Linked DNA regions of Struthio camelus. The protein of the gene in region 2 interacts with the protein of the main gene of each other region in a biochemical or structural test. Links are inferred from orthologs where the notes say so. Each region holds a gene or a part of one and is shown on either strand. Other genes may lie near its edges.

Evidence for each region.
Region 1: the proteins of MYH9 (region 2) and S100P interact in a biophysical measurement, tested with the Homo sapiens proteins (2 studies listed by IntAct). The link is inferred for Struthio camelus from reciprocal best matches to the Homo sapiens genes MYH9 and S100P.

What each region holds. Positions count from the first base shown.
Region 1 is NC_090945.1:74,099,393-74,103,312, reverse strand, and holds the start of S100P (protein S100-P), read right to left. Parts: upstream 2,261-3,920; 5' UTR 2,189-2,260; coding exon 2,051-2,188; intron 1-2,050.
Region 2 is NC_090942.1:59,388,521-59,392,440, reverse strand, and holds the start of MYH9 (myosin-9), read right to left. Parts: upstream 2,981-3,920; 5' UTR 2,808-2,980; intron 1-2,807. UniProt on the Homo sapiens protein: Cellular myosin that appears to play a role in cytokinesis, cell shape, and specialized functions such as secretion and capping. Required for cortical actin clearance prior to oocyte exocytosis. Promotes cell motility in conjunction with S100A4.

The DNA.
Region 1 (3,920 bases), on a different chromosome or scaffold from region 2:
TCTTTGAAATCACTAAAAATTGAACCATTGCCTAGATTTGATTGATGAATGTATCTGAAAGGTTTTTGTTCCTTTTCAGTTTACAAGTGCATATTTACAGTCATTTAGCTACTTGCATGAACTAGTTTTAGCTTCTGAATTGCTTCTGAAATGTAACCCGCTAATTATTCTATGTAAACACTTAGTAACTTAGTCCAATAGTTTAGGCCAATGTATGGATTTATTTCTCCTCCTGATCACGAATTAGGAAATTCTGATTCTGACTGAAGCTCATAAAGAGCTTTCTAGGTAGTTTGCTCTTTTCAGGTATAACGTTTTCTAAACCACAAATATAGATGAGCATTTAGAGGATCCTGTCTTTCTTGTTGAAAAAAAATATATATATATACATACACACACACACACACACACACACACATATATGAAAGTCTTTAAAAAGCAGGTAAAATGGTCATTTTTTTGGTGAAGTCAGACTTATATTCTCAGTCACGCCCTGCATGTAGTTATTGGCCCACAGGACAGAACATCGTTCTTTTAAATTTATTTTAACTGCTAACATAAAATGTTATTTGGTGTTATTTGTTCTCTAGAATATGTAGAATACAAAAAGGAAGTAAGGGAGGCAGAAGCCAGAGCATAAAAGGACATTTAGCTAATTACCTCCTTGGGAAATTCCAGTACTTTCTGCTGTTTCAGGAAATAAATAGAAGTAATAAAATCAGTCATGTGGAAATAAAAAAAAAGTGGTGCCCGACCAGTAGACATATTCAGGAATGACCTTGGAGAGTTATCCCATCTGGTAGCCATTTAGGGCAGTGGCTCCCCAACTTTTTTTAGATCAAATGTCTAAAAAAAGACTAAAGTTTCTAAAGTGTCTCGTGGATTTCCATGCACCCTTACAATTAGTTGTTTTTTGGGTGGCGAGGGCAGGTTGGTTTTTAACTGAAAGCACTACAAAAACAGGATGACCGGGAGCAAGATACTTACCATGACGCTTCTGAGTCACAGTCACCGATCTATTTTCTATGTTTTCAGAGACATTTTCATGTAACTACACAGAGCCATCTGGATTCTTATTCTGTATATTGCATCTGTATTTAATTAATGAGTCATAAATCCAACAGGCGTACATGTCGTACAGCGAACTCTACTGCTTGTGGCTCTACTGCTTAGTATCATGGAAAGATACTAAATTGTATGAACTACCTTTGCTGTAGTGCTCTAACATAGTTAGAAAATTCAGTTTTTCTGGATACGTAAAGTGGTGTCCGCACTTGGAAGATTTGGTCCTAGACTTTTGCAAGTAAGGAGAATAATTTCACAGATAGATAAATACTACTCCTGTGTAGAAAGAACAGGACTCCTAAACCATTTTCTAGGTTTTTAGTGAAGGAAAGCAAATAAAAAATGACTGAAAATGAAAGGCATTTTGTCTCCCCAGTAACTAATCATTTACTATAATATATTAAGAGGTTTGAATACCTGTCTAGAGAAATTTAGATATAAATATTGAAACCATTTAAATGTACATGATGATTACAGAGAAATCTATTATATAAAATAGTTTCTCAGGTCTTTCTTTTAAGATTAAAGACAATTGCTAAACAATCTGCTCTTATTCTTGTTTATATATCATTTTGGTGTGCATACTGGTGTAACGGAAACACTTAGAGAGATTTCCCCACTGCAATCAAGATCCTCAGTTGTTGACAACAAAACCACCTTCACAGCACTTGCAACATCATCTAAGATTATACACCCAGGAATAAACAGAAGTAGATGAATTCTGAAAATGAAAAATAATCTATTTCAAAGCCATTTTCCTGATAACTTGAGTGATGAACTCGGTGAACTGGGGCTGGCCCTGAATATTAGAATCAATTTTACACGGTATGCTCAAAGCCTTTTCTTCTTCAAATGATGTACTTAAAGTTCCTGCAAACCATTGTAGCTTTCTGGATGGAGTTCCCTCTGCAATGTGCTGACCACTGCGTCTGCGTGTAGCTCTCGCGCTTATACAGAAATGATGCTGAAGTGTTTGTTATCTTACCGAGAGGAAATTAGGTAGCTCTTTTTCCAGGAGAGTCTTTAGTTCTGCTTTGGTGAGAGTCTGCGGATTGCCTTGAGTCTTCGCGTACTTGTCAAAGACGGCAATGGTCATTCCCATTGCGGTTTCCAGGTTGGACATGTTGCCGCTAGAGTCTGGCCGTCTCCTTCACGTGAATAGCCTCAGACCTCTTTTGGAGGATGGAGGCTAGCCTTGTTCTGAGGTGCTTTATGCAACTGTCGCATCCAATGGTCCCACGAGGAGGACCGTTATCAGCTAGCAAATATCCGTATCTGAGCACCACTCTTTGTCACATTGCAGTACATGCCTTTGTAATGATATCGATTCAAAATTCAAGCTTTATCAGTTTGGTGTGGCTGGTACAGCCAGTTGCTCACCCGTAAGAATCCAGCCTCTCCTTCAAGGTACACAGCATGACTGAAAAATGAAAATCAAACAGGTAGCCTGACTTCAGAAGAGTATACATTAGCCTGCTAAGGAGGAACAGGAGTGTCTCATTTCTCCCTCGCTACCATAACTAGGGGCTCTGGGACCTTTTCTGAACTGAGAACAGCCACGGACTCCCTCTCTGCCCTGAGGGGAAACTTATCTCAGACTGGATGGGTCACTAAGCAGACACTGGGGGTGAGATTCACCTGATGAGAAGTAGAAGTCTGCCATGCAGATGCCTGAGTTAGCGCCCTGGGCTTGTACTGGGGGTACAAGCTGACGCTTCAGGTTCAGCTCACTCCAACATGGATGTCCAAAACAGGTCTGACGAACCAATGCCTCTCCCATGACGATAAAGGGAGCCTTGAGTGACTTGCTCAGATGAGGACATCTGAACCAACAAATCCGCCCCCTGAACACTGGGCCAGTATCAAGACTCATCTTGATCTGTGATGAAATAACTTGTTATTGATCCCATGCAGCATCGAACCTTGCAATAAAATTCACTATACTGAAAACAAAAGGTCACTTTGACATTCTGTCATCCTCTGTGGCTCCTAATCAACCTTGCGATTCGCTTGAAAACAGTGGTCCCTAGCACTGTTTTCCAGCATACCAAGCAAACCAGACATTGCTCCTCCGGGAGCTCTGTTGCGTCTCTGTGTTGGTAGCTGAGTGTTAGGTGGGAGGTGGTAGCTCAGGTGATGGAAGCTGATGAGCTACCGCTACAGAGTTTTGCACAAGTTAAAATTTCTCATCAAACACCAAGGTAGCTCAGCTGCCACCCAGCTCCAAGAACTTGCACTAGACCTGGAGAAGCTCGTTTAAGGTGAGTTACGTCTACACCTGAGTCTGCAGAGTGGACATACTCTGAGGAAATGATTTGGGGGAACCTAGCAAAACTAGGGCATTATGCATGAGGAGGAAGCGGCTGGACCCCAAGAGGAAGTGTTCGCTCTAGAAGATGCATTACCTGACTATGCATTACCAAAATTCAACCTGAGTTGGGATGTCTTCGCACATGCCTCTATATGCTTGAAGGTAAGTTTCCACTTTCGTCATGCTAGAGAGAGGTTAGCAAAAACTTGTTTTTAATTGCAAAAAATCTAAAAAATTAAACTCCTTCCTCACAGATGTCTAGAGTTGCCTGTTCACCAGTAAAAGTCTGTTCTGTGACATCTACAAAGCCTCAGAGCAAGAGCACACATCACAAATGCATGGCATTTTGAAACAAAAAAACCCCACGCTTTTCTTTCTTATATTCCCCAGTAACTGATTTTGCATCTCCCAGAAAAATCACTTGAACACCTCAGGCTGCATGCTGTATTTAAACAGTTCATAAGAACTGTTTATTCCCATGACTTTAACCTCATTACACCCTTTCGTTTGCATTAAGTGGGTAAGGATTTTTAGTAAAGTTTGA
Region 2 (3,920 bases):
CACTCATACCTCCTACTAGCTGGAGCTGTGATGCAAGAGAAACGTCTGCATTTGTGATGTAGCGGGTTTCAGGGAGAAATGGGTTGGAGAGTCACCAGCATCGGCCATGGGAAACCTATTCCCATCTGGTCGTGATACTACTGAGAACCGGAAGAAAAAAAGAAAGGAAAACCAAACAAACAAAAAAAAAATCCCAGTGTTGTTTGTTGGACACAAGTGAGTGTGTGAAAGGCTGCAGCTGGCAAATCTGGTGCACAAACTGAGTCTGTTACAGATCCTTTTGCCTCTGAACATGCTCCAGAGTCCCCCAAAAACTCTGGCAGAGCAGCCAGTGTACGTATTGGGTTCTTACACATTTCAAGGCTGTTCAAACCATTCAGCTGAATTGCCCTAGAAACTGGTTACAAATAAAACCAAGCATAAGCATGCTAAAAATGTCACTGTCATCAGATAAGGCTGCTATGCACATACCATTCCTGACACAAGCTCATTAAAGCTAGGACATGAAAAGTTAAGCCACCAGATCACATGTGTATGGTGGCTGGGGTGGGGGAGTATGGTGAGCAGGGCTTCAGACTGCATTTTTCTTTCTGGGCCTGCCACCAGTCTGTAGGGCATCACCCCTGTGTGACTCAGTTTCCCTCGATGGGGAAGAAAAGAGGGATGTTGCGGCACCCACCTCCTTTTGAGATGTCGGAAATGCTTTGGGAAGCAACAGCAGATTGGGAGGCAAGGGATTAGCCACTCTACTTAGGAGCTGTGAAAGGCTGGTGTTTCAGAGGACAGAGCACACGCTGACTGCCAGCCCTCAGAGATCCTTACCAAACAGTCATACTTAGCACTCCAGGAGGTAGTTATCTATATTTTATAGGAGCGGAAACAGCAGCACAGCCAGCTTCCTCTATAATACAAGTCCCAGAAACACAGGGCTGAGTGAGCTAAATGCTTACCACATGGTCTTACTATTGTCAGATACTCAGGTTTAGTCAGAGGTACACAAGCTGCCAAATTTAATGAACTTCAATACCATGTACAGAGCTTTTATGGTTCTCAGGCCAAATATTTTAAGAGGCAAGACAGAAAGCATCCAGAGGGTGCAGGAGTTATGGGAATGGTTCATAGGTAGGACTCCTGTCCTTCCCCCCTCCCCATGGGAGGCACCAAGGCCAGGCACACACAGACATGCACTGAGACCCAAAGGTGTTGGCCACAAGACACTGACTGGCTCGTGTCCTCCTGTAGCTGTGATTTCAGATTACCCTGCATCTTCATCTGCTGTGTCCCAGCACAGCACCATCTCTCCTGAGCTTACCACAACAGCCACCTGGAACTGCTCACAGGTGGCATATGGCTCAAGAAAGAGAGGCTGTGCACCCTTTCCTTGAGACAAGTAACTTGGATTAGGTTAACCTAGAATGATGGAACGTCACATTCCTTCTCACCCTAACAAAGATCAGGGCTGTTGTTTGATGATTGCTCTAAGCCAGCTCAAGTTTGGGCAGCCCCCAAAAGAGGAATTCCCCTTCCCTCCTATTCTGCTTCCTCCTCCAATATTCGCACTCCCACTGCCAGCCCTAGATCACACAATCAGCTGATTGAGCTGGAAACAAATATAAACCAAAAGAATGAGAGATGTTTCCAGCTGGATCACTTTCTTGGCCCAGTTGACTAGCTAGGTGCCAGAGAGACGCTGGGAAGGCACATCTGTGAGAGGGATTATTCAGTGGCAGCCCAGACATAGGCTGGTCAGAAACAATCAGGGAATCACAGTCCAGGAGAAACCAGAAAACCCCTTTTGCAGTGACACCATGAATGAATTCACTCCATCTGCACAGGGGTCACAGGGGTTGTTATAGCATATCAGATGCAAGTGGTTGTGATCAGCCTCTGCATTAAGGAAACTCTGTTGTCAAACATGTAGGACTGCCAAAGTCATAGAGTCATTTAGTGCGGAAGGTAACACTGGAAGTCTCTAGTCCAACCAACTGCTTGGAGCAGGGCTAGTTTCAGAGTTAGATCAGAGTGCTTCACCAGGTCCAGCCGGGCTATGAAACCAAGCATGGTGATTCCACGATCTCTGTGTTGTTGCCTCTTGTCCTTTCGCTGAGCACCTCTGACAAAAGTCTGACCTAGCTTCTCTATCACCCGGCTTTGGGTAGTAGAAGGTGGTTAGATCCCTTCCCCCTCCTAACTTTCTCCTCTCTAGGCCAAACAAACCCAGCTACCTCAGCCTCTCCTTATAGAGCAGATGCTTTAGCCCCCTAGCCAGCTTACTGGTCCTTCCCCGGAGTTGCTCCAGTTTGTTAATCTCTTTCTTTCAAATGCAAAGGACCATCCTGAAACAGCCTGAGGAACTGTCTGTCTCACTTCCTGGAGAAGAACAGGTGTCTCCACCTACCTGTATAAGCACATATCTTTGTGAGTGCATTTGTTGAGGTGGGGGGGGAGGGGGGTGTACACAGTACCCGTGTTCCTGTGTGTGCATGCTAAGTGTGTTGGAGGCATGGTCACACAGTGAGAGCCAGTGCACCTACCTATCACGTAAATACTGTCTCAGAAGTTCAGCTAATAAAAGTGGGTGCAAATTCACTGAAGTTTGTGGAGCCATGCTGGTTTCTGGAGCAGAGTTTTACTGCACATACACTGCGTGAATGCCTTCTGTGAGTGCACCCAGGGACACCTGTGTATCATCCTTCTCCTTCAGTTGCTCTGTACCCTAGCAAACATGGATCCTCCTTCCCATTGTTACCAGAGAAGATGTTTACAGTCAGGTCTAAATCTGGTCAGGTAGCTTCTCAATTACTCACCTCTCAGTTATTATTCTGCTTCAGTAACTCTGAGGCTCAGGGAAACAAGGTGTACCAGGCAGTAGCTAGGACTGGAAGACAAAAGGCAGGACGACAGAAATCATGTTCTGCTCTGGCGATGTTGCCGGAGGGCAATGCATCACTGCCATGATGTCATAACTGTGAGGCACAACCTTTAAAGCATGAAAAAAAAAGAACACCCATTACTCATGGACCAGACAAGCATTTTGAAAGGAGGAGACTGAGAAGGAAGACCTTTACCTGCTTGCTGCCTAGGAACGATGGTAGGCAAAATGACGTATGATTGCAAATCAGTGGTGCCATTTGCAATAGCAGGATCCCCCCTGCACAGACAGAAGAACTGCTAATTGTAGCCTGATGTGCAATCCCTCTGGAGTCTTCATAAAGGATGGGAAATGGGGAAGGTTGAGAAGAGCTCTAGGCTCTGGATCGGGGAAATACATGGCAAAAGGGACCGAGCAGGGATGCAAGACCTCAGATATGAGGCTACCAAATAGGTCATAGACGTGATCTGCAGGCAGGAGGAGGGAGGCAAGGACAGGGCATCTCTGCACTGTCAGCTGAGTGTGCAGCTCAGCTTCCGCCTTACAAAGCCAGAAGCTCTGTGAAGAGGTGTACCTCCCCAGATGGAGGACCTGAGGCACTTCAGTGCAGGCCAAACTCTTGTTTGTGCAGTCTGGACAGATTAGGCAGGGTAGGGCCAAGCCCAGACCAGTAGCTGCCTTGTGTAAGGCACGGGCATGGGTCCTGCAGTGCTAAGTTACAGACCAGGGAAGAGGCAGCAACAGAAAGAGAAAACCTGAGGGTGCCGGTTCTCAGCTGGCCACATCCTTTCCTCATTTTGGAGCAGGAACATAGCCATCAAGCCTCTGTGTTAAGGGTCTTTGGTGCTGCAGTCCCATGATGCTGGAATATTTGGCAGAGAAGGATGAGGGATACTGGGTAAAGACCTCCTTGGCGTTCAGAGCCAAGCCAGAGCTGTGGACTTACAAAGAAGAGGAAGAAAATAAAAGAGGTCTCCTATGGGAAACAGAGATATAAATCTCTGTAATGAAGGGTGAGGTGCTCAAAGGCCTGGCTCAGTTCAGAGCA